4 linked regions of the Elephas maximus indicus genome follow. The protein of the gene in region 3 purifies or fractionates together with the protein of the main gene of each other region. This does not show direct contact. Links are inferred from orthologs where the notes say so. Each region holds a gene or a part of one and is shown on either strand. Other genes may lie near its edges. The genes, in order: CNOT2, YBX3, RC3H1 and LARP1.

The links.
Region 1: the proteins of RC3H1 (region 3) and CNOT2 purify together in Homo sapiens (affinity purification with mass spectrometry, with the first as the bait; 3 studies listed by BioGRID). This does not show direct contact. The link is inferred for Elephas maximus indicus from reciprocal best matches to the Homo sapiens genes RC3H1 and CNOT2.
Region 2: the proteins of RC3H1 (region 3) and YBX3 purify together in Homo sapiens (affinity purification with mass spectrometry, with the first as the bait; 3 studies listed by BioGRID). This does not show direct contact. The link is inferred for Elephas maximus indicus from reciprocal best matches to the Homo sapiens genes RC3H1 and YBX3.
Region 4: the proteins of RC3H1 (region 3) and LARP1 purify together in Homo sapiens (affinity purification with mass spectrometry, with the first as the bait; 3 studies listed by BioGRID). This does not show direct contact. The link is inferred for Elephas maximus indicus from reciprocal best matches to the Homo sapiens genes RC3H1 and LARP1.

The regions. Positions count from the first base shown.
Region 1 is NC_064822.1:131,515,346-131,523,239, reverse strand, and holds the start of CNOT2 (CCR4-NOT transcription complex subunit 2), read right to left. Parts: upstream 3,006-7,894; 5' UTR 2,746-3,005; coding exon 2,636-2,745; intron 1-2,635. UniProt on the Homo sapiens protein: Component of the CCR4-NOT complex which is one of the major cellular mRNA deadenylases and is linked to various cellular processes including bulk mRNA degradation, miRNA-mediated repression, translational repression during translational initiation and general transcription regulation.
Region 2 is NC_064822.1:69,463,498-69,471,063, forward strand, and holds the start of YBX3 (Y-box-binding protein 3), read right to left. Parts: upstream 3,005-7,566; 5' UTR 2,767-3,004; coding exon 2,514-2,766; intron 1-2,513. UniProt on the Homo sapiens protein: Binds to the GM-CSF promoter. Seems to act as a repressor. Also binds to full-length mRNA and to short RNA sequences containing the consensus site 5'-UCCAUCA-3'. May have a role in translation repression.
Region 3 is NC_064842.1:36,575,131-36,582,928, forward strand, and holds the start of RC3H1 (roquin-1), read right to left. Parts: upstream 3,015-7,798; 5' UTR 2,718-3,014; intron 1-2,717. UniProt on the Homo sapiens protein: Post-transcriptional repressor of mRNAs containing a conserved stem loop motif, called constitutive decay element (CDE), which is often located in the 3'-UTR, as in HMGXB3, ICOS, IER3, NFKBID, NFKBIZ, PPP1R10, TNF, TNFRSF4 and in many more mRNAs.
Region 4 is NC_064820.1:170,908,087-170,915,231, reverse strand, and holds the start of LARP1 (la-related protein 1), read right to left. Parts: upstream 3,001-7,145; 5' UTR 2,715-3,000; coding exon 2,273-2,714; intron 1-2,272. UniProt on the Homo sapiens protein: RNA-binding protein that regulates the translation of specific target mRNA species downstream of the mTORC1 complex, in function of growth signals and nutrient availability.

The sequences.
Region 1 (7,894 bases), on a different chromosome or scaffold from region 3:
TTGTTCATGGATACAGAGACTTATTAAGATGTCAATTCTTCCCAATTTGACCTATAGATGAAATGCAATCCCAATCAAAACCACAGCAAGTTATTGTGCAGATAATGACAAAATGGTTCTAAAGTTTATATGGAAAGGCAAAAGATCAAGAAAAACCAACATAAGAAGAAGAACGGAGCTGGAGGATTGACACCATCAGACTTCAAAAATTACTATAAAGCTATAGTGATGAAGACACTGGTGAAGGAATAAACATACAAATCAGTGGAACAGAATAGAGAGCTCTGAAATAGACTCATGCAAATATAGTCAACTGATCTTTGCCAAAAAAGCAGGGGCAGTACAATAAAGAGTCTTTTGAACAAATGATGCTGGAACAACTGGACATCTACGTGCAAAAAAGTGAATCTAGATCACAGACCTAAATGTAAAATATGAAACTATGAAATTTCTATAAGATAGCATAGGAGAAAATCTAAGTGATCTTGAATTTAGCAATGAGTTTTTAGATACAATACCAAAAGCACAATGCAAGAAAAAAAGAAGCTAAATTGGACTTCATTAAAATTAAAAACTTCTGCTCTGCAAAAGACTGCTAAGAGAATGAAAAGGTAAGTCACAGACTGGGAGAAAATGTTGGCAAAACACGTATCTGATTAAGGACTTGTATTCAAGATATGCAAAGAAGTCTTAAAACTGAACATTAAGAAAACAAACAAGCCAATTAGAAAGTGAGCAAAAGATGTGGACACCTCACCAAGGAAGATACACAGATGGCAAAAAAGCATAGAAAAAGTATTCAAATCATGTATCATTAAGGAATTGTACTTTAAAATAAAAATGTGATGCCACTACATCTATTTAAAAAAGCAACAAAAGTAGATGCAGTCCACTCGATTCCAATTCATGGTGATTCTATAGGACAGAGTAGAACTTCCCCATACGGTTTCAAGGCTGTAATCCTTAAAGCAGCAAACTGCCACATTTTTCTCCTGTGGAGCTGCTGGAGGGTTCAATGTGCCAAACTTTCAGTTAGCAGCTGAGCACGTTAACCACTGCACCACCCCAAAACTGACAATACCAAATGCTGGAGAGAATGTGAAGCAGCAGAAACTCCCATTTATCAATGGTGGGAATGCAAGTTGGCAGTCACTTTGAAAGACAGTTTGGGTAGTTTCTTATAATGCTAAACACAGACTTAACATATGATCCAGCAATCATGCTCTTAGGTATTTTTCCAAATAAACGGAAAACTTAAGTCCACACAAAACTGCACAAGAATGTTTATAGCAGCTTTACTATAATCGAATGGTAAAACAAACTATGGTACACCCACACAACGGAGTATTATTCAGCAACAAAAAGAAATGAGCTAACCTGGTCAGGAAAAAGGAATCTTAAATGCTTAATGCTAAGTGAAACAAGCCAGTATGAAAAGCTACATACTGTAAAATTCCAACTATATGACATTCTAAAAAAGGCAAAAATATACAGAGACAATAAAAAGATCAGTGGATGCCTCCAATTCAGAAAGTGGTAGCGGATGGGGAGAGTGAATAGGTGGAGCACAGGGAATTTCTGGGGCAGTGAAATTATTCTGTATAATACTGTAATGGTGGATACATAGCATTATGCATTTGTCAAAACCCACAGAACTGTTCAACACAAAGAGTGAACCTTAATGTAAACTATGGGTTTTAATAATGTTGTTGTTGTTGATAAGTGCCCTCAAGTCAGTTCTGACTCATAATGACCACATGTACAACAGAATGAAACACTGTCTGATCCTGCACCAGCCTCATAATCTTTGCTATGCTTGAGCGCACTGTTGCAGCCACTGAGTCAATCCATCTCCTTGAGGGTCTTCCTCTTTTTTTCTGACCTCTGCTTTATCAAGCATGATGTCCTTTCTCCAGGGACTGGTTCCTCCTGATAGTATGTCCAAAGTACGTGAGACGAAGTCTCGCCAACCTGACTTCTAAGGAGCATTCTGGTTGTACTTCCTCCAAAACAGATTGTTCTTCTGGTAGTCCATGGTATATATTCAATCATCTTTGCCAGCACCATAATTTAAAGGAATCAATTCTTCTTCAGTCTTCCTTATTCATTGTCCATCTTTCACGTGCACATGAGGCAACCGAAAATACAATGGCTTGGGTCAGTCACACCTCAGTCCTCAAAGTGACATCTTTGCTTTTGAACACTTTAAAGAGGTCTTTTGCAGCAGATCTGCCCACTGCAACGCATAGTTTGATTTCTTGACTTCTGCTTCCTGGGACAATGATTGTGGATCCAAGTAAAACGAAATCCTTGAGAACTTGAAAGGAAATCTTTGAGGATTCAATCTTTTCTCTGTTTATCATGATCTTGCCTATTGGTCCAGTTGTGAGGATTTTTGTTTTCTTTATGTTGACATGTAATCCATACTGAAGGCTGCAGTCTTGGATCTTCACCAGTTAGTGTTTTGAGTCCTCTTCGTTTTCGGCAAGCAAGGTTGCGTCATCCGCATATCGCAGGTTAATGACTCTTCCTCCAATCCTGATACAGCATTCTTTGTATAGTCCATATTCTGGGATTATTTGCTCAGCATAGAGATTACATAAGTATGATAAAAGGATACAACCCTCATACGCACCTTTCCTGATTTAAAACCACGCAGAGCATCCCCTGTTCTGTTTGAATGAGTGCCTCTTGGTCTACGTACAGGTTCCTCATGAGCACAATTAAGTGTTCTGGAATTCCCATTCTTCATAATGTTATCCACAATTCTTTATGATCCACACAGTCAAATGCCTTTGCATAATGAATAAAACATAGATAATGTCTTATTTAATAATAATGTATCAATATTGGTTATCACCTGCAACAAATACAGCCCACCAACGCAGATGTGAATAACAGCAAAAATGGTAGGTAAGGTAAGAAGAAGTATACAGGAACTCTACCTTCAATTCCATTTTTCTGTAAACAAACCACTCTAAAAAACAGTCTATTAATTAAAAAACAAAACACACCATTTGAAGAATATCATAGTTAAAGGAAAAGGAAGATTATCAACCAAATGGATTCCAAAGGAGAGGTGAGAAAATGAGACACTAAATCTAAATTTATATTTTTTAAAAAGACCAACAAGAATCTAATTAAAAGAAATACATAAACCAAATGTTAATTAATGGAAAGAAACAAACTTATATGTCTCTAAGTTTCTCTAAATCAGAGCCTAATAAAAATGTTGCATGCAATAAACAGTACTTGGATTAATGAATATTAACTGAACCCCAACTTCTTTCAGAAAATAATTAAAAAAAAGAATTTCTCAAAACAGGAAATCAATATATTTTGAGTAAAATTTCTAGAAAATACTTTATTGGAGAGGGGAAATACTTATTAAAGTTTATTCTTTTAAATTTCATGTCACCAAATAAAATATGCTAATGGAACAAGAATCAGGAAGTCTGAGTTGAAGTATTAGCTTGATCAATTTCTCCTTTCTAGTCTTAGTTTCCTAATGTGTAAAATAAGGTGGTTGATCCAAATGAATTTAGAAAACACATCCAACTCCAAAATTGTCTATTTTCAATGTTCGGTGTCAAGGCAATGCTCACAGGAAAGTGGACAATTACAGATGTCCTTTTCTATGTTGTCTTTTTTTCTTCCCACTGCACTATTCAATAGTATACAAAAAATACCCCAACATTTTACGGTTGCCCTCGTGGCACAGTGGTTAAGAGCTCAGCTGCTAACCAAAACTTCTGCAGTGTGAATTCACCAGTTGCTCCTTCGAAACCCTATGCGGCAGTTCTTCTCTGTCTTATAGGGTCACTATGAGTTGGAACCGACCTGACAGCAACTCGTTTGGTTTTGGTTTAATGGTATCTGAAAGGAGCCCCAGTGGCACAGTGATTAAGTACTCTGCTGCTAAACCAAAAGATCAACGGCTTGCTCCATGGGAGAAAGATATGGCAGCCTGCTTTTGTAAAGATTACACCTCGGAAACCCTAGTTCTACTGTCTTACAGGTCAGTATGAGTTGGAATCAACTTGACATCAATGGGTTTTCTTTTAACGCTATCTGAAATAAGTAAAACATGGTAGTCATTACCATACTCAACTTTGAGCTAAAACGTGAGGAATTTGGTCAAGTTATGATTGTTGAACCAGCTGGACGAGTTTTCTTTTTCTGAAATAAACTCCGAAAAAAAAGCAAACCCACTGCCATCAAGTCAATTCTGACTCATAGTGACCCTATAGGACAGAGTAGAACTACACCATAGGGTTTCCAAGGAGTGCCTGCTGGATTCGAACTGCTGACCTTTGGGTTAGCAGCCGAGCTTTCGACCACTGCGTCACCATTCTTTTTTGATATAGAGAATTTTATATACCAGGCTGGCTATTAATTAGAACAGACTACCAGATGTGGCCAATTTCAATGGAACTCTAGAGTAAGCTGAAGTAAACACACTGTGCTCTTACCCTTAAAATTCAAAGGTTTTTTAGATTCCCTAACTATGTCAATCAACCTTTTCTGATTAGTAAATGAATCACAGCCACAAAAACACTTCCTTGCCCTTATGAACTAATTTCTGGTTTGATAACACAGACGAATGTTTTCACAATGCTCTAAGTTATGAACCTAAGCAATGTCACTGAATTGTACATATAAAAATGCTGAATAGGCAAATATTTGTTTACATGTATTTTTACCAGAATAAAATGATTTAAAAAATGTTCTGAGTTAATCACTCCTTGGTACATATGAGAAGTGTCTGCCAGTTTGTCATACTGTGGGGGCTGGCATGTTGCTGTGACTCTGGAAGCTATGCCACTAGTATTCAAATACCAGCAGGGTCACCCATGGCAGACAGGTTTCAGGCGAGCTTCCAGACTAAGGTTAGAAAGAAAGGCCTGGCGGTCTACTTCTGAAAAGGTTTAGCCAGTGAAAACCTTATGAATAGCAGTGGAACACTGTCTGATATACTGCTGGAAGATGTGCCCCTCAGGTTGGAAGGCACTCAAAGTATGACTGGGGAAGAGCTGCCTCCTCAAAGTAGAGTTGACCTTAATGATGTGGATGGAGCCAAGCTTTCAGGATCTTCATTTGCTGATGTGGCACGACTCAAATTGAGAAGAAAACAGCTGCAAACATCCATTAATAATTAGAATGTGGAATGTACAAAGTATGGATCTAGGAAAACTGGAAGTCATCAAAAATGAAATGGAATGAATAAACACTGATATCCTAGCCAATGGTCAACTGAAATGGACTGGTGTTGGCCATTTTTAATCAGATGATCATACGGTCTCCTGTGCTTGGAACCACAACTTGAAGAGGAATGGCATTGCATTCATCATCAAAGTGAACATTTCAAGCAGCTGGTATTTAAAAAAGGCCCAAAGTTTGTTAACCAGGGAAAAGACAGTCTCTTTAGCAAATGGTGCTGGCATAACTGGATATCCATCTGCAAAAAAACGAAATAAGACCCATACCCCACACCATGCACAAAACCTAACTCAAAATGGATCACAGACCTAAATATAAAATCTAAAACGATAGAAATCATGGAAGAAAAATAGGGCAACACTAGGAGCCCTAATACATGGCATAAAACAGAATACAAAACATTAGTAACAATGCACAAACACCAGAAGAGAAACTAGATAAGTGGGAGCTCCTAAAAATCAAACACTTAACGTTTATCCAAAGACTTCACCAAAAGAGTAAAAAGACAACCTATAGCCTGGGAAATTTTTGGCTATGACAAATCTGATCAGTGTCTAATGTCTAACATCTACAAGATACTGCAAAACCTCAACAACAAAGACAAATAACCCAATTAAAAAATGGGCAAAGGATATGAACAGGAACTTCACCAAAGAAGATACCGAGGTGGCTAAGAGATACATGAGGAAATGCTCACAATCATTAGCCATTCCAAACAAAAAAACCAAGCTCAGTGCCATCGAGTCGATTCCGACTCATAGCGACCCTATAGGACAGAGAACTGCCCCATAGAGTTTCCAAGGAGCGCCTGGCAGATTCAAACTGCTGACCCTTTGGTTAGCAGCTGTAGCACTTAACCACTATGCTACCAGGGTGTCCCATTAGCCATTAGAGAAATGCAAATCAAAACTACAATGAGATTCCATCTCACCCCAATAAGGCTAGCATTAATGTAAAAAACACAAAATAATATATGTTGGAGAGGCTGTGGAGAGGCTGGAACACTTACACACGATGGTGGGAATGTAAAATGGTACAACCATGTTGGAAATCAATGTGGTGCTTCCTTAAAAAGCCAGAAACAGAAATAACATAAGATCCAGCAATCCCATGCCTTGGAATATATCCTAGAGAAGTAAGAGCCATCACATCAATAGAAACATGCACACCCATGTTCACTGCAACACTGTTCACAGTAGCAAAAAGATGGAAACAATGTAGGTGCCCATTAACGGGTAAATGGATAAACAAATTATGGTATATTCACACAATGGAATACTATGCAATGATAAAGAACAACAGTGAATCCTCGAAACATCTCAAAACATACATGAATCTGGAAGACATTTTGCTGACTAAAATTAGTCACAAAAGGAACAAATACTGTATGAAGCCACTATTATAAGAACTCAAGAAAAGGTTTAAACAGTAACACATTCTTTGATCATTATGAGGGTGGGGAGGGAGGGAGAGGGGTAATCACTAACTAGACAGTACACAAGAATTATTTTTGGTGAAGGGAAGGACAACACACAATACAGGGGAAGTCAGCACAACCACATTACACCAAAAGCTAGTAAGTTTCTTGATTACGATCAAACACTTCAAGGGACAGAGTAGCAGGGGTGAACCATGCAGCTGGGGACCATGGTTTCAGGGGACATTTAGGCCAACTGGCATAACAAAATTTATTAAGAAAATATTCTGCATCTCACTTTGGTGAGTGGCATCTGGGGTCTAAAAAGGTAGTGAGCCAAGCAAGCAGCCATCTAAGATTCAACGACTGGTCTCAACCCACCTGGAGCAAAGGAGAATGAAGAACGTCAAAGACATAAGGAAAATATGAGCCCAAGAGACAGAAAGGGTCACATAAACCAGAGACTCCATCAGCCTGAGACCAGAAGAACTAGACAGTGCCGGCTACAAGCGATGACTGCCGTGACAGGGAACACAACAGCAAGTCTCTGAAGGAGCAGGAGAAAAGTGCAGTGCGGAACTCAAATTCTAGTAAAAAGACCAGACTTGATGGTCTGACTGAGACTAGAGGGACCCTAGAAGACATGGCCCCCAGACCTTCCGGTAGCCCAGAACTAAAACCACTCCCGAAGCCAACTCTTCAGACAAAGATTAGACTGGACTATAAGATATAAAATGATATGGTGAAGAGTGTGCTTCTTGGCTCAAGTAGATACATGAGACTAAATAGGCAGCTCCTGTCCTGAGGCAAGATGAGATGGCAGAAGGGGACACAGGAAATACAGGGTGGAGAGGAGGAATGTGCTATGACATTGCAGGGAGAGCAACTAGGGTCACATAAAAATGTGTGTATATGTTTTTGTATGAGAAACTGACTTGAATCATAAACTATCACTTAAAGCACACACACACACAAAAAGAACATTTCAAGATCTATCCTGAAGTACAACGCTGTTAGTGACAGGATAATATCCATACACCTACAAGAAAAGACCAGTTAATATGACTATTTTTCAAATTTAGGCACCAACCACTGAGGCCAAAGATGAAGAAATTGAAGATTTTTACCAACATCTGCAGCCTGAAATTGATCGAACACACAATCAGGATGTATTGATAATTACTGGTGATTGGAATGCGAAAGTTAGAACCAAAGCAGACAGACTGGTAGCTGGAAAATACGGCCTTGGTGATAGAA
Region 2 (7,566 bases), on a different chromosome or scaffold from region 3:
GGGGGGGGGAGAAGATGAGAAATGATTTTCAACTCTAACTTCAATCAGGATGATTATTAAGAAAAAAAAATCCTAATTCCATAAATATTTCCGAGGGCTTCATTGGCCAAGTACATTCACTCACACTTATTGCTTCTTTAAAACCATAAATCCAACCCACATACACAAAGGGAGAGGGGCTGGGAAAGACCAGAAAGCTTCCATAATGTTCATCAGAGGAGTTCCTGGGTAGTGCAGATGGTTAACCCACTCCGCTGCTAATTGAAAGTTTAGAGGTGTGACTACGCCCAGAGGCACCTCAGAAGAAAGGCCTAGCAATCTACTTCCAAAAAATCTGCTGCTGAAAACCCTGTGAGGCACATTTCTACTGTGACACACATGGGGTTGCCATGAATTAGAATCAACTCAATAGCAATTGGTTTTAATGTTCATTAGAACGGATGTTTTGTTTTACTCATGTGAACAATTTTCTCTGACCTAAGTGATATTCACTGTAAGTGAAGGCCCATTAGTAAAAACTAGAATGGGGGAAGCCAAGAACAGACTTCCATTTCAGTCAGGATTATGCCTAGCACCTCTTAGGGATGCAAGTGTTTGCTTGACAAAGGAAAGGTGGGGGCAGAACACACTGGACAGAGACAAACTGTGCAAGGGTCATGTACAAGGTTGTCCATTTTGAGAGAGTTGGAGTTATAATGAAAAGACCAAAGATCCCAGGGCCACATCTGGTAGAGGCTTAGTACTGGTTGGTGACTGAGGAAATTAACTTTACCTGTTTTCTCCATCTTTAAAGATACCTTCATCCCCTATCTCAGAAGGGAACAAGGATCAAGTGAAAAACAGCAAAAGTTCTTTTATACATACAAAAATGAGGTGCATCATTCAGAAATATATCTTAACATTGCTTTGAACAACCCAAGGTTGTCTCTCTGTGACATTTTGCATGGAAGTATTCCAAGAAATTCTTGCTGGAAACAATACCACAATACAATATTGACTAAATGTAGGCAACTTTAACACCGCACAAAGAGGGCTATTTTGTTTTCTTAATCTACCCAGGTTACATTTAGCGTGTTGTTTGACAGTGCCTGAGTAAAAGCACTGGAAAAAATAGGCTTCTCAAGCTGGGAACATGGAATCGTGTAACACTTTCTTCACATTATTCCCTCAATTTTCTTCTTAATTTGCAGGCAAGGCTGAGAGAGATCTGACAAACACATCCCACCCAAAACCAAAACCATACCTATTGCCATGGAGTCGCTCTAATTCCGACTCATAGTGACCATAGAGGACAGAGCAGAACTACCCCATGGGTTTCCAAGGCTATGATGTTTACCGAGGAAGAAGGCGTCCATATCTTTTTCCTGAGAAGCGGCTGGTGGATTCCTAAAGCTGGCCCACCTTTCAGTCAGCGCCAGAGCGCCACCAGGGCTCCTTCGCCCACCCAAAATACTGAAAATTTCTCTGAAGCATCCTACACCCACCTGTTAACTTTCCTGCTTGAAAGAGAGTGAACTTAGTCACCACCTACATGCTTTGCAAGCCTGTTTAAGGCCTCACACAGGCATAACGAAACGGAGGAGATAAAGCTGAAATGCGCGGCAAAAACAACCACCGCCACTGAAACCCCTCCTAATCCTCTGCCCCAAACCTGACCGTCTCATCTTCCTGTTTCCCTTACTAAGTCCCAAGGTAATGCTGTTTTGAACGTTCTGCCCACACTTCCGAGGAAATTTTTTCAGCTGCTCGACCACGTGCGTCCCCACAGTACAGGAAGAGGAACACGTGTAGCGATTGGTGGACACATTTAATGGCTCTTCGCAGCAGAGGGCACAGAGAAAGGGAGGAGGGCATGGGACCAACACTCAAGTTTCCCGGGGAGGATTGCAACACCTCTTTGTCGGCATGTGGCCGACATGAGTATGGCGTCTTTCCTGTGCCCATGCGTCTTTCCTGTGCCCATGCGGGAAGGGCGTCAGGGACTGACACCTGAGCCTTCCCAGCAAAAAGTCTTTTCACTTTTCCCTCCGTCTCCTTCCAGCGCCTCACTCCTCCCCAAAGGAAGTCCTTTCCTTCCCCAGATCCCAAGCAAAGACTCCTAAATCCTAGACCCCTAAATCCCAGTCCACGTGTCTGTCCCTCCCCTGCATCCACAGGCATCCCTACCGCTGCTCTTCTTTTCTCTTCGGACCGGGACATTCTCTACTACAGGAATCTGAGACAGTATCTGCTCGGATGACAGACATTAAGCCCATAACTTACTGGCCCAAGACCACAGGGGACGCGCACAGGACGGCGAGCGGCGCAGGGCGCGGCGCTCTTACCTGGGAGCGCCTGCAGAGCGGGAGGACAGTGGCCACCGGCGCTGGGGACCCAGGGTCCCGGGGGACCCCGGATTGTCAGCCTCTACCGCCTGAGTGGGAAAGGCGGCGGGAGCTGCGCACACGTGGTTGGCAGCCAGCCGCTCGCCCGCCCTGCCGCGAGCAGTCCTTACCCTCCCCGGCCTGACTCACCGAGAACTTTTTTCTCCGCGTCTTCGCTGCCGGCGGTGGCTGAAGAGGCGGGTGCCGCGGTGCCCGCGGCTGCGGGGGCCGCGTCCCCACCGGGGTTTCCCGCGACGAGGGCGGCGGGCGCCGGGGCCGCGGCCTGGGGCGCGCCGCTGCCCGCCGGGCTCTTGGGCGCGGGGTCCTGGGGGGCCGCGGCGGCCGCCTCCGCTGGAGCCTGCGGGAGGTTGGTGGTGGTGGTGGCCTCGCCCGCCTCGCTCATGCCGCCTCCTCTGCTCTCACTCGGGCACCTCGGTGGCGGTTGGTCGGCGGTTAGTGCGGCTGGTGGTCGCGGCGGCCGGGGCTCGTTCTCCGTGAGGCCGGTGGGTATCTCGCGGCGCAGGCGGCGGCGGCCGAGGTGGGGTCTCGCGGCGGAGGCGGCTCGAGCTCTCGGGCTGCGCCCTCGCTCTTGGGCTCCTCGCTCGATCTTACTGCCCCAAAAATGGCCCCGCAGAAGTTTTTCTAGGCGGTGCACCAGGCTGGGAGGGAAGGGCGGGCGAGGGAAGAGGGTGGGGAAACTTGGCTCCTGAGTTGGGCATTGACTCTCATTAGCATTTAAAGGCGCATGGTGCCCTTCCCAACTCGCCAACCCACCCTCAGGGGCCAAGTTGGAGAGCAAAGGATAGCGAGAGTGAGTATGAAATTTATAGATGCGATCCGAATTTCCTGAGGAACAAGCTCTGCTGTCCCTTTGCTGGAGCGGAGCAAAGTTGGTCTCTCCCTCACTACACTTTGACACCTGAAACGGACTCGTAAGAGGTAAAATAGGAGTTCCAAATTACGCTGCGCTTCACTCTCAAACACTCCTGTTAAGTTCTCTACATTTATTTGTTCAGCATTCATCAAGCACCAGGAGCTATTTGTGGGAAGTGGAATAATAAAATCTATTTTGCAGTTTGTGCCTGGAAGGTTATTTGCAGATAATTTAATCCATAGCCCACAGGTGAGAAAACTCAAGTTCAGATTTTAGAGAAAGAACGTAAGTATCAGGGCTTCCACCAATTTAACATAAACAAATGATGAACTGTTAATATGTATTTAATAATGTATTTGGGGAAAAAAATTGTCAATCCGCATCTTACCTTCTCCAATTTACCCTGGTGCCTACCACCTGGTGAAAATTTAGGCAACTGCTCCCGCTTAACCTCAGGGATGAAGGTTTAGAGAAACATAACACGTAATAAACCCAGTATAAAGAGCTCACGTGGCCTGTAGAAAATGGTCTGGATTGTGCTAAACACAGGGCCGGGCCAGAGGGAGTGTGATTTGAATACAAAGACTACCTGGACTAGACTACTGGTTGGTGTTCTCTGCCGCTAGTGTTAAGACCAACCTAGGTATAAATTCTGGCGTTGCTCTGTATTAAGGGGATTAACTTGGCCAGTATTCAGTATTTCAGAGTCGGTTTCCTCCTTTATGAGATGAGGTACTGTGAAAAGCAAATGAGATTATCCAGTGTCTGGTCCAGAAAAGTTCTCAATTAGCTCTTTTTTTTTTTTTTTTTTTAATTCCCTGTTCCTCCTGAAGCATTTACGTGTTTTTCCTCAAATTTATTTGTTCATCTGGCTGCCTGCCCAACTTCAGGAGAGTAGCAGTCTAGTCTAATTCATCTTTGTATCCCCACTGGCTAGCACAGTACCTCGCAGAGAGCTAGAACAGAGTGAATAAAAAATTATCAAAATCTTCCAAACTCATTTATCTACACATTCATTATCAATCACTATGAAATTACCCTATCTTCTTACTTTCTTATTCCATCCATGAAAAATCCAAATTAAAGAAAATAATTTCTTAGAAAAAATTATCAAAATATGGAATTTTTAGTTTTTCCGTGTAATTAATCCATATTTTCCAAACTCCTTAGGATTAGATTCTTATTTTAGTTGTACTTTAATATAGAGCATGTTCTTGTTGTTAAGCACCATTGAGTTGATTCTGACTCATAGCAGCCCTATAGGACAGAGTAGAACTACCTCCTAGGGTTCCAAGGAGCAGCTGGTAGATTCAAACTGCTGAGCTCTTAACCACAGCACCACCAGGGCTCCAATGTGGAGCATAAAGTAACATAATACATATAAGAATGCTTAAAAAAAAAGAAAAGAAACTGCTGGTCTAATGCTAATAATAAGGATTATGGTCATAATTAAAATTAAATAATATGCATGATTTTTTTCTGGTAAAGACTGACTATTGGCTTTCTCATCCAACAATGTGGTTATCATTGCTATTTACCATGCAGAATTTGATTGCATGAGAAAAAAAAATAAGGGGAGTTGAATTTTTCAAATCATATCCACTAGTGAAGCATGTTTTAATATATATATTCACTCTTGGAAAATATAACTAACAGGTGAGGTCTCCAATCTCTGGAAGACCCTAAAATAATTACAGAACCATGCACCCTGAGATTTCCTAGCGTATGTGCTCGAATGACTTCCATTGTTGTTGTTAGGTGCCATCCAGTCAGTTCCGACTCATAGTGACCCTATGCACAACAGAATGAAACACTGCCTGGTTCTGCGCCATCAATGCAATTGTTGTTATGCTTGAGCCCATTGTTGCAGCCACTGTGTCAATCCACCTCACTGAGGGGCTTCCTCTTTTCTGCTGACCCTGTACTATGCCAAGCATGATGTCCTTCTCCAGGGATTGATCCCTCCTGACAACATGTCCAAAGTATGTAAGACACAGTCTCTCGCCATCCTTGCTTCTAAGGAGCATACTGGTTGTACTTCTTCCAAGACAGATTTGTTCGTTCTTTTGGCAGTCCATAGTATACTCAATATTCTTCGCCAACACCACAATTCAAAGGCGTCAATTCTTCTTTGGTCTTTCTTATTCATTGTCCAGCTTTCACATGCATACGATGCCACTGAAAATCCATGGTTGGGGTCAGGCACTCCCTAGTCTTCAAGGTGACATCTTGCTTTTCAACACTTTGTGGAGGTCCTTTGCAGCAGGTTTGCCCAATGCAATGCATCTTTTGATTTCTTGACTGCTGCTTCCATGGCTGTTGATTGTGGATCCAAGTAAAATGAAATCCTTGACAACTTCAATCTTTTCTCCATTTGTCATGATGTTGCTTCCATAACTATCATCATTTTCACACGCACACAAAAAAAGCAGTGAGCAGCTGGAAGTTCTTGATACCATGCTACATACATCTAGAGAGAATTAATTGGAACAAACATGATCTATGTTATTATAATACTCATAACTAGAGATCGGCTTGGACACAGATACACAGAATTTTGTCCATTCTTTCACTCAGCCATTAATTCATGCACTCATTAGCATATATTTATTAAATGTACCAAAGGAGCCCTGGTGGTGTAGTGTTTAAGAGCTCAACTGTTAACCCAAAGATCAATAGTTCAAATCCATCAGCCACTTCTTGGAATCCTATAAGACAGTTCTACTCTGTCCTATAGGGTCACTATGAGTCAGAGGTGACGACACCGGTGGGTTTGAATTTTTGGTTATGTGCCAAAGTGCTAGAGTAGCCAATGTTGATCAAGGTGGAACTTGCTCTAAGATATTTTTGATGTTAATGTTAGTCTTTTTTCCCCCCCCACTGTCATCATTTCTATTGAAAGAAAATATCATTTCTTAAATTTGGGATTAAGTGGAATAAAAAAGAATCATAATCTAGTTGTTGACAGCAATCATTTTTTAGCGATGACTGGTTTGGTCATGAAAACAAAAGCTACTCTGTTCCAAGTATGAGGCGGGTTAGAGCTTCCACAACTGTTTGCCTAGCTTGAGGGAAGGAAAGTCAGAGAGGCTCTACTGAAGATCTCAGACTCTAGCAGCAAAACTGATGGTTCTCAAGAATTCTCGTAAAGCCACTGGAATCACAGGGTTTCTGGGAAACTCCCAATTATTCATGCTTAGATCCAGGTTTTGTAAGACCTAAAGCTTACACAATTTAGAAAGCCTCCTTTAAGAAATAAATATAAAATCATGAGTATAAAATTGTTGGGGCCACTGCCAGAGTTTTAGGACCCATGCAAAGAGAAGGCCTGAAACTTAAACTTCATTCATTTCAAGGCAAATCCACCCCTGCTCCAGCTATCTCAGCTGGCAGCACAGATATGGATGTTCCTCAAGACGTTTATCTGGAAATAGCTTTGAACCTCCCTCCATCTGCCCATGCATCTTTCTGTAACTGACTTTGTAAAGTAATGATCTCCTCCTCTCTGTCTTCTAAATCTTGAGCAAGTGTTTCTATTTGGCAGATTGTATCCTGGGACCATACAAGGAAGGAGATTCTGAAATGTAGTTCCTGACTTTGAAGAGTCTAACGATGATGCCGAGTTGACAAGAGATTATCCAGCGTATCACCTTTTAAAGGGACTAGAGTTAAAGCAATGAAGCATTGATGTATTAGCATATCTGAAACTGTAAAACAATGAAATATTAATCTAAACCTAATTGATGATAAAGCAACACAGAAGGGAATGGTCAACTTGCAATAAAAAAGTAGAGGGATAAGAGAGTAAAGGTTTTTCAGGGTGTCTCCAGCAGTGTTCAGAGAAGAGGATACCATGATTATTATACTCTGTTTGGTATTCACTAATAATGCACTCAATACAATGTTGATCATTCACATTGGGTGCTAAGGATATCATGCAAAACCAGACAGGAATGGGTCCTGTATTCAAGGAGCTTATAATTTAGACCATCACTGTCAAATTGAAATATAATTTGAGCCCCAAATGTGACCCACATATGTGGATTTAAATTTTCTAGTAGCCACAATCTGTTTTGGAGGAAGTACAGCCGGAATGCTCCTTAGAAGTGAGGATGGCAAGACTTCATCTCACATGCTTTGGACACGTTATCGGGAGGGATCAGTCCCTGGAGAAGGATATTATGTTTGGTAAAGTAGGTCAGTGAAAAAGAGGAAGACCCTCAACAAGATGGATTGACACAGTGGCTGCAACAATGGGCTCAAGCATAACAACAATCACGAGGATGGTGCAGGACTGGGCAGTGTTTCCTTTTGTTGTACATACGGCTG
Region 3 (7,798 bases):
ACAAATACAATTATTATAAAACATAGTTCAAGGTCAAAACAAGTAACCGGTCAACATAGTAGATGCCTCAAAGTTTAATGCTGAGACATACAGTGACAGCAGCAAAGCATCTAATTTGTGTCACAAGACAGGGTTTGAGTAAGCTCTTTTACCTATTAATTATGTGGCCTTCTGGCTAATTATTTAGCTTCTCCTAGCTTCAACTTCTTCATATGTAAGTGAGCACAATACTACAATGTTAGAGCATAACTAGGAGGATTAAATGAGATGCTGCCTTTATTCAACAAATAAGCTTTGAAAAACTGTAATTTTTATTATTATGTACAAAACCCCCCTTCCAATCTCTTCAGATGAATCATACTTTAACTTTTAATACTACCAAAATGTAAATCTGGTTCTTAAGCTATGGTCCCAAAACTTCTTAGAAGCAATTTTGGAAATATTATTTGAGAAAATCTGAACTGAAGTAATCAAAATAAACACTGACACGCAAGATACGACTTTATTTTCTTTGAGGGATCACATCTTAAAAATAATTTTGACACAAAATAATTAAAAACAATTCCCTAAGAGATTTTTCAATATTAAACAGAAACAGAGAAACTGAACGTCCAATTTCAGACATAAAATCTTAACATAAGAAATCTTTGTTTTCTGGAAAATGAGGTAAATTAGTCCTTGGTATAACATTATACTTTTGCAAAACAAAGTACACTAATCACTTATAATTCACAAACTCCTAAATTACTGCAATTGTTCTAATTGGATTAAGGCCACAGACAAATTTAGTATCATCACAATGTAGACTTTACTTGTACTCTGTGCTGACCTAAGAAAAATTCAGCATGAAAAAAATAAGTCACAGACTTGAACACTTGTTAAAAAAGTATTCTTTCTGAAACACTTCCCCGAATTTTATATTAGTGAGAACCATGTGAAAGTTGTTCTTTCCTCACCACTCAAAAAAAAAAAAAAAAATCAAAACACCCACAACATTATTTATGCTAGGCATAAAATGAAAGCCATTATTGAAATTCATCCCACTCTATGTGAAATCCTAAACAATAGTTCAGCCTCTAAGTTTATTAAGCCATCTATTTACTGCCAATTCTTATGGCAGGCATATTCCAGGAACTAAAATAGGGCTGCTGTTTATAAACTTCATATAAGCTGAAAATGCTTTTAGATATGACAGATACAAACCAAATTATAAATTTACCCTAAACACGGGTGAAAGATATTAATTGGCATCCTCTCTACACAGATCTTCCTTCGTGAACCAAAGCCCTCAAATGGACTGTGCAACTGAACGTTAACTAGCGGAAAGCAATCTTCTTTGATGCATCCAACCAATTTTAACGTAAATTTCTGCACACCCGGGTAGAAACTAAAATAGAAATAACCTTAATCTCTCCCCCCCCCACTTGGAAATGTGGTAGATGCCCTAAAAAATTAAGTTTAGGGGAAACAGCAGTTAACTGTTGACATTTCAGACATCACTACTGTATAAATAAGGCAATTACAATGAAGAGCTGTGGCCTGATAAGCCTAAATATTCGAGAGAACTTAGTTTCTAGTTTTTGAAAATTATAAGAAAGTTTTGAAATCTTACAAAATGCGCTTTTTAGAAGTCAAAATTTCAAACTTAGAGAAAAAGACTGATAGGACAAATCACTGAAGACAAAATTAAAGCATAAGGCAGAGCAATAGAAGCCCGGAGCTGAAGCACTAGTCTCCTGAAGGAGAACTTCATTAGGTCCATTTTATGTTAATGTTTCCTATGCTGGACATTACTAATTCAAGACGGCTCATTTGAAAGGGGGGGGAAAAAAGTTCTATTCAAACACTACAATTTGTCTTTCCGTTGCCAGTAACTGGCTTTGTTTCCAGTTCCATGGACTATTCTGGGATGTCAACAGTTATATTACTACTCTCACCGGGGACGTGGGATTAAGGGATGTTTAGAGAGAACCGATGCTTAAGAGATGTTTTGAGAGGACCATCCCTCACCACGCCATCCCTTACCGATAATTACTGTTTACACTGTTTACCTTGTGTTTTTGTTGCTGTACTTAGATTTTTTAAAAAGACACCTGCACACACGATTTCCCCACCGCCACCAGAGAGGAAGAAGACCGTCAGTCTCGATCTCTAGGAGCTCCAGGGAAACAAACACCGCAAAACCCACTTGGCCAAGGAGGGGAGCGCTTAAGGGGTCGGGGAGGGAGCAGCCCTGAGATGGAGGGAGGCGGAGGCGGCGCCTGTTTACAGGCGCCTTGACTCCCCCCCACCCCCTCCAAGAAAAGGGGGCCCAAAAATCATTTCCTGTGCGCACTCCCTTCCCAGTCTGGGCCCTCGGAGTAACCGAAGAGTGGGGGAGCCTGTGAGCCCCCTTCCTCTCGCCAAAGCCTCTCTCGCCCTCCCCTCGGCCAGGGCGGCGCCCGCACCTCCCCACGGCCTACCCAGCGGGGCAGGCCCTCCGGGCGGCACGCGGAGGCCTGAGGCCTAAAGGACGCCGGCCACTGAGGAGACCCTCGGAGCTGGCGGAGCCCTGCGGGGCCCGGGGCCGGCCGAGCGGCCAGTGCCGCCGCCGAGCAGAGAGTGCGCGATGAGAGCCCCTTCCCCGCCGCGGCTGCCTATTGTTCCCGACCGAGGCCCGGGCTCCGGCCGCCCCGCTCCCTCCGTCGCCGCGGCCGCCCGCCCGCTTGCTCGCTCACCGCGCTGGTCCGAGCAGCAGCTCCTCTCAGCTCCGAGTCCCCGCGGCCGTCGCCACCGGCGCGGCAGCCGCAGCAGCTGCCGCTGCCACCGTCGACTCTGACTCTGCCCCAGGCCGCCGGGCCACGGCCGCCGCCGCCACCGCCAGCGTCGCCTCCGGCCCCCCACCTGCTGCTGCTGAGGCTGCTCCTGCAGCAGGGGCCATCTTGTTAGTCTGCCTCTTCTTCCTCCTCCTCCACCCCGTGGCTCGTTGTCCTCGTCCCCTTCCTCTTCCTCAGGCTCCCTCCCGCCCCGGAGACGGGCGGAGACAAGGGCGAGGCTCCTCCTCCGGGGGGCGGGGCAAGGGGCGGGGCGGGGCGAGCACGGGGAGGAAACCTCTGAGTCACCCGCCACCAACGCTGGGAAGGGAGGCGGGCGACGCTCGCTGTCGCTAACCGCAGTGCACAAACGCCGAGAGTTGAAGAACTGGTCCAGCCGTCCGCCTTGCCCTCCCCTCCACGGGCACTTTTGGGCCTAGTGGGCAAGTGCCCAGACGGCAGGGGTGGAATTGGAAGATTTTTGACGTTTTTATCGAATCCTGCACAACCTCTGCCCTTTTGACTTTCTCAGCTGTTGTCTCTCTACTTTTTTCTTTCTCACATCTTCCCCCCAATTTTTTTCTTCTTTTATTCTATCCGGGTTTTCCATCACACCAGCTTTGCCCGAGTCACCCCGCCCACAGTATTCAGTCCCCTAAAGGCGCTGAAACAGCCCAGAAGCCCAGACACTTCTCCAAAACGTCTCCTCAGGCCTCTGTGAACAGAAGGGGCTATCTGGGGAGAACAAAAAGATTTAGCACATAGAAGAGCTGTGGGATCTAAAGCTAGCCTTGTGACTATTGGAAGTTTCTTTTCAGATAAAAGATGTTATTTTAGCATCTCGATTTTTCAGGTCTTGGTCAAGAGAGCAGAGATTTTATTTTTCTGTCGTTTCTTCACTGTGTACATGGCCAAAAACAAGAAAAGTGCTATATTTAGCGAAGCTTCTGCCTTTAACCTGATAAATTCAGTCATATAACACAGATAGTGTTTTTTATATTATTTATAAAACGTGGATCACACACCTCCCTAAAACTCTTAAAAAAAAAAAACTAGGGAAGAATTCTTTTTAGTTGTTGACGCCCTCCTGCTACTCAGATTTCAGCTTCTTTTTAGAAAACCTATTGATGTCTTTCTTATTGATTGGAATTCACTCCCTTTGAAGTAGGCTAAATCTATAACCGCTTCAACCTATTAAATAGTAACCCCTGCCCTACAAACAGGCAAACTTCTAGCTACCACAGTGGAATTAGATTAGCACGTGTTTTCTTTTCTCTCTTGGTTAGCCTTTCCCTCCTCAAACAGCCAGGCCACTGCCCCCTGCTAGGAAAAACAGATTAATCTGTTTCTCCTGCTTTTTCTCCTCCTGCCTTCTTCTCACTCCTAGGGAACCTTCCACAACAGAAGGTTATAACGGCTGTTGCTAGGCAAACATGCCAACTTCCCTGTTCAGACAAGCAAGTAACCTAATTTCCATTATAAGCAACCCAGATAATGTAATTTCTTTGAACTATTAATAGTTGTACCACAGTTGGTAAGACCTCTTCAAAGTTCCCTTATAAAATATGATTTTAAGTTGAATTTATTATTTTTGGTTATTTCATCAATATTTCAATTAAAAAATAAGTTAAAAATGGAGGGGGCTTCCCAAAGCTCATTTTCATGATATAATTCAACAAAAAGATTTGGAAGAAAAAGAAGAAATGCTGCTTTGAAGGAAATATTAAGTGTTTGTAATAAAAATTTATGAGAAGGCGTATGTTTTGAACTTCCCAGTTAGGCTAGAAGTATGAGACACATTAAAGAATAATTTGTTCCTTGAGTTTGAGTCTATTTAGAAAAATATAATGTGGTTAAATGGCAAGAAAAAAAAAGATTCTGGATTTTAACAAATTAACAACTCAGCATAAAAATTTTGGCTAATGAATTAAGCTCTCCCTCCTCCCCCCATTTTGCTATTTACTTTTTTAAAAATTGTTATAGTAACATTTTGCAGGGAGTTGAGATTTGCTGAAAGTTAATATAAATAAAACTAACCCTGAAACCCGTTGCCATCAAGTTGATTCTGACTCATAGTGACTCTATTTTGGTTTTAAAACTAAATAAGACATGTTGAAAATTCAAATAGGATTTGTATACTTAAGCTTCTAAACTCTCTCTCAAAATTGTATAATTTGTTTTAACCCAGTGAAATTCGTATTAATGTAGTGAAATGAATAGTACTTGAGGAGCACCTTAAGCTGAGATGACACATTAAGAATGAGTTACAAAAGACAAAGAGCTTAACTATGTTTTACAGTCATTTCTGCTTGGAAATCACTGTTTTGTAACTCACACAATTTGAACAGTTTAGTTTTATTTCACATTTTATTATCAATCCTGTTGTGCAATGACTAGAGATTTAGACTCTGCGTCAGCCTCCACCACTGATGCACTATGAGTCATTTTATATAAAGCACACAGTAAGTATTCAATAAATGTTTACTGAAAATTCATTTTAAGGATATGTCATTATAGTCTTTACTTTCTTGATCAGTCAACTAAGGATGACAAGCCATCAAATATATTTTTGCTCTTCACATTAACCCTAAAAAAAAGATGAATGCTATTTTTTAGATCACACATGAATTAGTTAAAATCATACCTGATGAATTTTTCAATATAGTTTGTGATATGCCTGTACTACACTGTCCCTTGAAAACCCTGGTTGCATAGCAGTTAAGTGCTACAGCTGCAAACCAAAAGGTCAGCAGTTTGAATCCACCAGGTGCTTCCTGGAAACTCCATGGGACAGTTCTACTCAGTCATGTAGGGTCATTATGAGTAAGAATCGACTCGAAGGCAATGGGTATATTGTCCCTCCTTCGATTTTTTTTTTTTTTTTTAGAATAACGTGATACCTTTTTAAGCTACTACATGATTTTCAGTTGTCTAGAATATGTAATTGTCAGCCAAAAGCACCATTTACTGAACTGTTGTTAGTTGCGGTTGAGCTGATTCCAACTCATGGTGACCCCATGCATGCAGAGTAGAACTGCTCCATAGGGTTTTCATGGCTGTGTTCTTTTGGAAGAAGATCGCCAGGCCTGTCTTCTGAGGCACCTCTGGGTGGGTTTGTACTGTCAACCTTTCGGCTAAGAGTTGAGCGCTTAAATGTTTGTGCCACCCACAGACCCCTATTTCTCATATTAACCACTAAAAAAATCCACTGCCGTGGAATTGATTCCGATTCATAGCGACCCTATAGGACAGAGTAGAACTGCCCCGTAGAGTTTCCAAGGAGCACCTGGCAGATTAGAACTGCCAACCTTTTGGCTAGCAGCCGTAGCACCTAACCACTACACCATCAGGGTTTCCACATCTCATATTAGGGCTAGAAAATACTTTAGATACCAACCCACTTATTTCAATAGATAAAACTGAGACTAAGAAAACTCATTGCCATCAAGTTAATTCCAACTCATAGTGGTCCTATGGGACAGAATAGAACTGCCCCATAGAGTTTCCAAAGAGCAGCTAGTGGATTTGAACTGCCAACCCTTCTGTTAGCAGCCAAGCTGTTAAACACAGCGCCACCAAGACGCTGAGACTAAGAAAAGTTAGATAAATAACATCTACCTATAGGGTGACTACGAGTCAGAATCGACTTGATGGCAGTGAGTTTTTTTCTTAACTCCTTGTTTATAGATAAGACCCTGTTACTGAGGAGGGATTTGAGGGGGTGGGGCAAAGTTGGAAGCAAGAAATACAAAGATGAATAAGGCATGTGTCCCTGCTTGAAACAAATTTAACAATCTATAGGAGAAATACGAGAAGAAATGCCTGTAAATTACTGGAGCATAAAGTAGCTTGATGCATAGAAAATACAAAGCTTTATGAGAGTTAAAAGGAAGAGATAGTGGGAATCTTCATTCTAATGTCACAGAACCTTCCTTTTGACAGGTGGAAATACTATGATGTTAGATGTGTACTCCAAAACCAAAACCAAACCTGTTGCCGCCGAGTTGATTCCAACTCATAGCGAACCTATAGTCAGAGGCATAGGAATGCAATCAGTTCTCAATTCAGGGCAGTTTTGGGGAGAAAATTACACTCTCAAACACACACATGTACAAAATAGGGAGTGCTGAAGCTAAGGCATTTGGATTTCCTGAACTACTTTAAATAAAGTAGAGGTGGAGGGGTCAGGAGGCCTTACTAGTTTAGTCCTCTCCATCCTCCTCAGCCTTTCCTCCTGCTACACGTAGATTCTCCTTGACCTTCTACTCCTTTCCCGAGTCCATACCATTACAACCCTTCTATTACCAGTGTTGATTAAAATAAAAAAGAAACAGAGAAACGTGTCCTAAGTACTTGCATTAAGAAAATTCAAGGGAACCAATAGTGTCTGGCCTGTCGTTGTTAGATGCCATTGAGTTAATTTTTGATTCATAGTGACCCCATGTGACAGAGTAGAACTGCCTCGTAGGGTTTTCTTGGCTGTAATCTTTAAAACTAAAACTAAAATCCTTATGGAAGCAGGTTGCCAGGTCTTTCTCCCCCTTCTCCCATGGACCAGCAAGTTCAAATCATCAACCTTGGGGTTAGCAGCCAAGTGCTTAACCACTTAACCCTTTGTACCACCAGGGATCCTTATTGTCTTACTCCTCACCCAATCCCAAACCAGGCCCAAGTCAGCATCCGCCAACTAAGTTTGCCTTAGATTCAAGGTAACAATCCAAAGTAATCATGGGAGATATAGCACAAATCAGTTTTGGGATTTCTGGAGTTAGATCCCTGTGGACTTTTTTCCAAAAGAGCTAAATTAAATATTTGAGTCCTACCCGAAATTGCTTCTAAAATGGCCTGCCTTTCAAAAAGATCTCCCGCCCAACATTGAGCATGTCTGAACTTCAGCTCACCCCCTGAGACTTAGGTCTTCCCTTTAGGGAAGACATACTAGACAACTTTCAGTAAAGAGGCTCATTTTATGCACGGCTCTAACAGCATTTTAAAAATTTATCCAG
Region 4 (7,145 bases), on a different chromosome or scaffold from region 3:
CCCTAACAACAGGCTTAAAACAGAGAGGCTACTGGATTAATTTGGAGTTAATCTGTCAAACACTACCCCAAAGGTACAAGATCAACACTCTTGCCTTAAAGTTCCAGGAAGACAAGAACACGGCAAATCTACCCCACTCAGAACTGTGCTCTGGGTACTTCAAACAAGTCTGCTCTTCCACTCAGAGGGGAAAGCAAGATGCCAACCAAGTTGTCTTCTTCCCACAATCAATAATCCCAGTGACCTATCAAGGGCCCCTGGACTTACACAAAATGCCAGCTCAGGCACTCAATACCACCTTATATCACGGCTGATTTAAAAGCCACAAGGCAGATTCACCATTAGCTAAGCAGCAGCCCGAGGTGAGAAGCCCAATTTAAACTTCTGAAGAGTGCTCTCTCTCCTGGGGATGATTATACCCCTTTGAGTTTAAGGTGGGGGGGGGGGCGCGGGGAGGGACCAAAGAGTGTCTTAAAGTTGCTCTCCCTCCCTCTGTGGGTGGATCAGGGAAGGATTTGTAAGAAAATGGAGGTTTCAGCACTGCCCTTTGCATAAGAGGGTTCTAGAAGGGGCATGGGGGAAGAGGAGGAGGGCAAAAGGAAGAGAACATGGTTTGAGGCATTATTAGTAAACCCTAAATGTCCCCTCCCCTAAATGAAGCAACCTTGAAAAAAATAAAAATTGCAACATGCCATTTTCAGGTTTGGTTATCATAATTTCCCTAAGACTAAAGGAGTGATCTTACTCCCTTTGATATGAAGGCATAAAGCTCCCCCTTCAACTTTCCCCGTTTTGATCTTCTAAACCATACTGCCTCAGCCAGCACTCTGAAACGGAGTTTTGAAAGAACACTAGGGCTAAGGCCACAGGCCATCATTCTAACTGCAAACAAGGTATTAACACTGGCCCACATCAAAAGGGCCCAGAATTAAAGAATCGAGGCCCACTGTGCCCCCCGAGTCCCAGCAAAGCGGGGACGGGAAGTGCGCCCCATTCAAGCTGAAGATCTATTCCCGGTAAAAGGAGGCCAAAAGCAAGCTCCATATTCTGCACCGCTTCTCTCCTCACGCTGACGAGGCTCTGCTGGGATTTCCTGCACACTCCTCTGAAAGGACAGTGTCCAAAAAGAAAAAAATAAAAGGGAGGTGGAAGGATAGACTCGGGGTGCGCCCGGGGCCCCAGCTTCGGGGCCCCAGCTCCGGGAGCGCCGGCCGCCGGTCACATGCCGCTCCCCGCGCGGGGAGGCACCACGTTGTCCCGGCTGCGGAGGAATGCCGGGAAGGGGGAGACGCGCACTTACACTCGCGCACACGCACACTACAGGACGCGCCGCGCCGGCGGCCCGCACCCGCCAGTCACCCGGAGCGCGACGACCCGCGCGGAACGCAGAGGCCGTGCGGCCGCAAGCAGCCCGCGAGTCGCGGGCGAGGCGCATGGCGCCCAACTGTCACCCGCCCGCCCAGCCCGGCCACTCCCTCCCCCGCCGCCGCAAGCCCCTCGTGTCGCCGCGTGCCCCTCACTCGTCTCACATTTTCCGCCAACCCCCTAAACGGATCCCCCCGCATTTGCCATCGGCTCCCTCTCAAGGCGGAAGGCCCCTGGGATCCGAGAGGGAAACTACCGAAGTCAGTGACACGTTGGGTTTCCTCGTCGCCCCATTCTCCCTGTAACTGACCCCTCAACCCGTCTCCAAATGGCGGTTCTACCGCCTACTATCATCTACTCGAAAACAAAACTTGTTAACTTTTAAATCTCGAATCCCTATACTCGGTGTGAACTCATCGCTGAGTGCTTTGCTGCCCATGACATATGCTCATTAAACATTTACAACATGGGGACTATTGCAACGCTACCAAAACGGGGAGCGTGGGGCGGAGTGAGAAGAGGGGGCTTCCCGAGTAAGGGAGGTTTAAACCAGAAACCGCCTTTTACACCAACATGCGATGGGGAAAACAGGGCCATTTTCACCGAAGCCAGCGCCCACCCTCTCCCGGTGAGGTAGGCCCGGACCACGCCGTTGCCCACTAACCGCTGCGGCCCAGGCGGTGTCCGTGGCCTCCGGGAGGCCGGGCCTCAGGCAGGAACAGGTTCCCGAGTGTGCGGCGGGAGCAGGGCACCACGACCCGAACGAGGCGTGAGACAATTCAAATAAAAAAAAACGAGGCACCACGACTCGTGGCGGACCCCCGGGCCCTGGAAACCGCTGGGGGAGGGGACGCCAATGTCCCCGGAAGAGGCCCCCGGACCCAGAATAGCAGGCTGGGAGACCCACCTGGAGGGGACTGTCCGTTCACCGTGGCCAGGGCCTGCGGCAGCGCGTTCTTAGTCCACGGGTTCACCTTGGGCGGGGGGGCCTCCACGAAGTCTCGCCGTCCGCCGCCGCCCGCGGCTCCGGTTGCTCCTCCGCCAGCGCCCGGCTCGCCGCCGCCGCCCTCCTCCCCGTCGCTGACGGCCGGGCCTTCGGCGCCTAGCGGCTGCAGCGGCCGCAGATTCTCGCGCTCCTGCTGCCCGGTGCCCTCCTTGTACGGCTTGGCGCAGGGCGGCCGGGGTCTCCGGGTGCCTCCGTCCGGCTCCCCCACTCCGACGTCGTTGGCGCCAGGCTCGCCCTTGCCCTCGGGCGGCGGCGGCAGCTTCTTCCTCACCAGCCCCCCGTGCTCTTCGGCCTGCAAGAGCTGGGCGCCCCCCGGCAACAGCGGCTCCACCTGAGTGGCCATCTGCGCGCCCGCCCCCCCGGAGAAGCCGGGCGCGCCCGAGGCTGCCTCCCCCGCCTCGAACTTGGCTCGCAGAACGCCCGCGACTCCTTCCTCCGGGGCGCTGGGCCCCAGTCCCTGCAGAAAAGGGTCGGGGTTCACGCTAGGCGCGGCCCCCCCTTCCGGTCGGATGCGGCCGCCGTAGATCCAAGGCCCGCTGGCGGGGCGGGGGGGGTGGGGGAAGGAGTGCCCCCCACTCTGCGGTCCAGGCCGCCTCGGCGCACGTCCCCCCCCCGCCCGTTCCTCGTAAGGCGCCCCCACCCCAAGCTCAGCGGGCTTCTCGTCCCGTCCCTCCCTCCCCCCCGCCCCCGGGGCGGCCCGGGCTTCCCGGCTCGGGGGCTGCAGCAATATGGACGGACGGGGGAGAGGCGCGGCGAGCCAAGCAGACCACGCGATCCGCGGCAGGCGGCGGGCGGGCGCGCGCCTCGCGGCGCGGCGGGCGAGGGGAGGGGACAACGCAGCGGGAGCGCGCCCGCCGAGGCCAGCCCTTGGCGACGGGCCGGCGGAGGCGACGGGAGCGCGCGCGCGAACGGCCTCGCGTCCCCGCCCCTCGTCCTGCCCCGCCCCTCGCCTCCAAGTCCTCCGTGCACCTCCCTGGCTGGGGTGGGGGCGCTCAGACAGGACGGGGGCGAGCACGTGCCTGATGCAATTCGGTAGAGGGGGGCGCATCCAGGGGGGGTAGGAGAGACGGGGGAGAGAACACGGAGGACTCTTAAAGGGCCAGCGCGTGAGAGAGGCCGCAGGTGGAGCACATGCGAATGGGCCACGCGGCCGGCTCGGCCTGCTCTCGTTCTTTAGGTTGGGTGTCAGATTCGGGGGAAGGAGCCATAAAAGTCACCCCCGCCTCCCAGGATGCTGGTAGAGGGTCCGCATCCTCCCAAAAGTCGCGCCTACACCGCCCCCTCTCCGCATCCCTCTATCCTGGCCTTTCCAGGCCCCGCATGGGTGACCTTGGGCAAACCGCTTTCAACTCCACCGGCTGCGCTGGGTTTCTCCCCTCCAGGCTGACCCGGACGTTGCCGGGGGACCGGGTTCGACTCCAGGCCCGGCAGGCGGGCCCTTGCCCTTGGGCGCTTCGGGTGCCTAGGATGTGGGAGTGGAATTACCAAGGTCCTCACTCCAGTCAAGCCTCTGAGTATTTGTGAGCAGGAAACAGCTTTTCTTTCTAGTGGATTGTGGTTTCTACATAGTTGCTTTGGGAGGAGTTGAACTAGTGCCGATTCGAGACTCTAGGGATTGAAATTTTGTCCTGGTCTTGCCTCTTATGAACTCTGCCAGTCAGTTTCCCCCACCGTAGGCCTCAGTTTCCCTATTGTAAAATGAAGAAATGGTCTATGACAGTGGTTTCATGCTTTAGTGTATATTCAATTCAGTTAATATTTATTCACTCCGTGCTCTGGGTGTCTCTACAGTGCTAGGAAACAGGGTTTGGTAATAAACCAGGCTAACAAGGTCCCTGGCCTCATGGAGCAATTTACATTCTAAACGTGGGGAAAGACAAAAATGATAAACAAGTTCCTGTGTAGAATTAATGCATAAACTGTAGTAATAGGCTAGAACAGATTTGTCCTTCTAGTTTGATGAGGGAACACCTCCCTGAACACAGGTTCCAAAGTGTTTAGAAAAATCAGGCATGGTCTGGAATTGAACCCAGAAATCTGTTTGTCTAACATAATACCCTTAGAACTTCTACACCAGGTGGTCCCATGCCTCACTTGGAGAAGTTGTGTCCTGTGCATTCTGAGGGTGGTCCAGGTTTAACAGAGCTGAGATCTACCTACTTAAGACATAAAAGCCAGGAATGTTGATCTCCAAAATAAGAACACATGACCTGCTGGACAGGGGAGAGGATTTATCAGAGAAGACTCTTGTAACTGCTCCACCTGGGAAGTCTCGGTTGTACATTGTAACCAGGAGTACTGGGGAGAAGTGCTGGTGGGGATAGCCAAGCTCTCCCATAACTTAGCACCTGCCTTCACTTGCTCTGTACATTTGCCTGGAGCCCCCTTTCCTGGCGTAAAAATTGTAATACATAATGCCTGATTTGTTCTCACCCTGTGGGCTTTTTTGAGGAAGCAAATGAAATGCTTCAAAAAGAGGTACCAAGGAAGGTAAGGATTAAAGGGATCACAATCTAAGCACATTCTTCAAAATTGTGTTATATCTACCCTTAATCCTTCCACCACCCACTGCTGTCAAGTCGATTCCGACTCATAGTCTACCCTTAATAAACAAAAAAAAAAAACAAACCCAGTGCCATCGAGTCGATTCCAACTCATAGCGACCCTATAGGACAGAGTAGAACTGCCCCATAGAGTTTCCAAGGAGGCCTGGTGGATTTGAACTGCCTTCCTTTTGGTTAGCAGCCGTAGCACTTAACCACTACTCCACCAGAGTTTCCCTACCCTTATTTATTGATAAATATTTCCTGAAAAAAATTATTCACTCAAAACCTCTCTGAACTTTGTAAAAAGGAACATAGTCATCGTTGTTGGCTCTTTCTTCCAACATTTCTGTAGTTGGTCATGGATGGCCCCCAAACAACTTGTAAGGGGGCCAGGTCTCTGTGTGGACAAGTAACTGGTTCATGCTACCCAGCAGTCAGAGTTGGAGCCAAACAAGCACTGCCAGACCCTGTTATGTAGAGACTGGAAGGGCACAGAGATCCATACACCCCCAGGCTTGCCCCAGAGAGGGGCCCTTAAACACCGATGCGCCATTTTACAGATGGGCAAACTGGGCCCAGAAAAGGCAAGATACCTACATGAGACTACATCTTGAATTTAGAGGCTGTTAGAGGAGGAGTCTTAATGATTGCTTAATGTCTTTGTTTTGCAGTTGAGGAGACTGAAGTTCAGAGAAATGAAGCTACTTATCCAAGCTCACACAGCTAGTCAGTGGCAGAGCCAGGCCTTACACCCAAATCTCTTGATCCTAAGTCACGGAGCTGTTCTACACAAAATGATGGAATTGGGGTTTGAATTCAGGTGATTTGATTCCTGGCCCATTATGTCATTCCATGAGTGCATTCATTTCTAAATATTAATAATGACCAAATAATTAAGAGTGTTAACAAATGGGTAAGCACTGCATTACCAGCTGACAACTTGGTTATTCAAAGACACCCATAGGTGCCTTGGAAGTAAGGCCTGGTGATCTGCTTCCAAAAGGTCAAAGCCTTGAAAACCCTATGACGTACACAGTTCTCGGAATGCAAGTGGTCGCCGTGAATCAGAATAAACTTGATGGCAACTAACGACTTATATTGAACAATTACTATATGGCATGTTCTGTGAGAAATACTTGATATTCATTATCTCATTTAATCCTCACAGTTACCTAATGTTATAAAATTGTGCCCCTCAAAAATACGTGTTGGATGAGACTAAATGGGTAGCTCCTGTCCAGAGGTGAGATGAGAAGGCAGAAAGAGATAGGAGCTGGTTGAATGGACACAGGAAATCAGGGGTGGAAAGGAGGAGTGTGCTGTTACATTACAGAGATAGCAACTAGGGTCACATAGCAATGTATGTATACATTTTTGTATGAGAAACTAACTTGAGCTGTAAACTTTCACCTAAAGCACAATTAAAAAAAAAATATGTGTTGGAATCCTGACCACTGTGCTTGTAATCCTGTTTGGGAATAGGGTTTTCTTTGTTATGTTAATAAGGCCCTATCAGTGTAGGGTGTGTCCTAAAAGTAATCACTTCTGAGTTATAAAAATAGCAGAGTAGACACAAGCAGGCAAAAAGGGGAAAGGAAAATGCCACTTGGAGATCATCAAGGAACAGAAGCTGAAAGAGGCAAAGATGTTCCCTCAGAACAACAGAAAGAGAGCCTTCCCCTAGATCCAGTGCACTGAATTTGGACTTATACCCTCTAAAACTGCCAGAAAATACATTTTTGTTCATTAAAACCACCCACTTGTGGTATTTCTATTACAGCAGCACTAAAAAACTAAGATACTTAATGAGATAGGCATTAATTATTGCAAAGTATCTTTTTTTTTTTTTTTAATCTATTGAGCCTCTACTAGGTGTCAGGCACCAGGCCAGCCCCTGGAGCTGTTATTATCTTCAGTTACAATGGAAGGCCACTGAAGTTCATAAAAGAAAGTGAGAAGGGTGCCTGGTTACAGCTAGCAGCTGAGTATCGGAGTAAGGTTTTTCCAGGGCGGTTTAACTCCCCTGGTCTTGTTCTTACCCACAACACCACACTACCTCCCTTCCCTCTACTGTCACATCCACAAGTATTTATGAAGTCATTAACTACTCAGGCCTGGGGAAGATACTAAAAAGTCGAATGCTGTCTCTCTAAAAGGTAAACTCTAACTGGGGGGACTTAAGTAATTAAGCAATATGTGACCTCAGGCCAGAAAAAGGTAAGATAAGA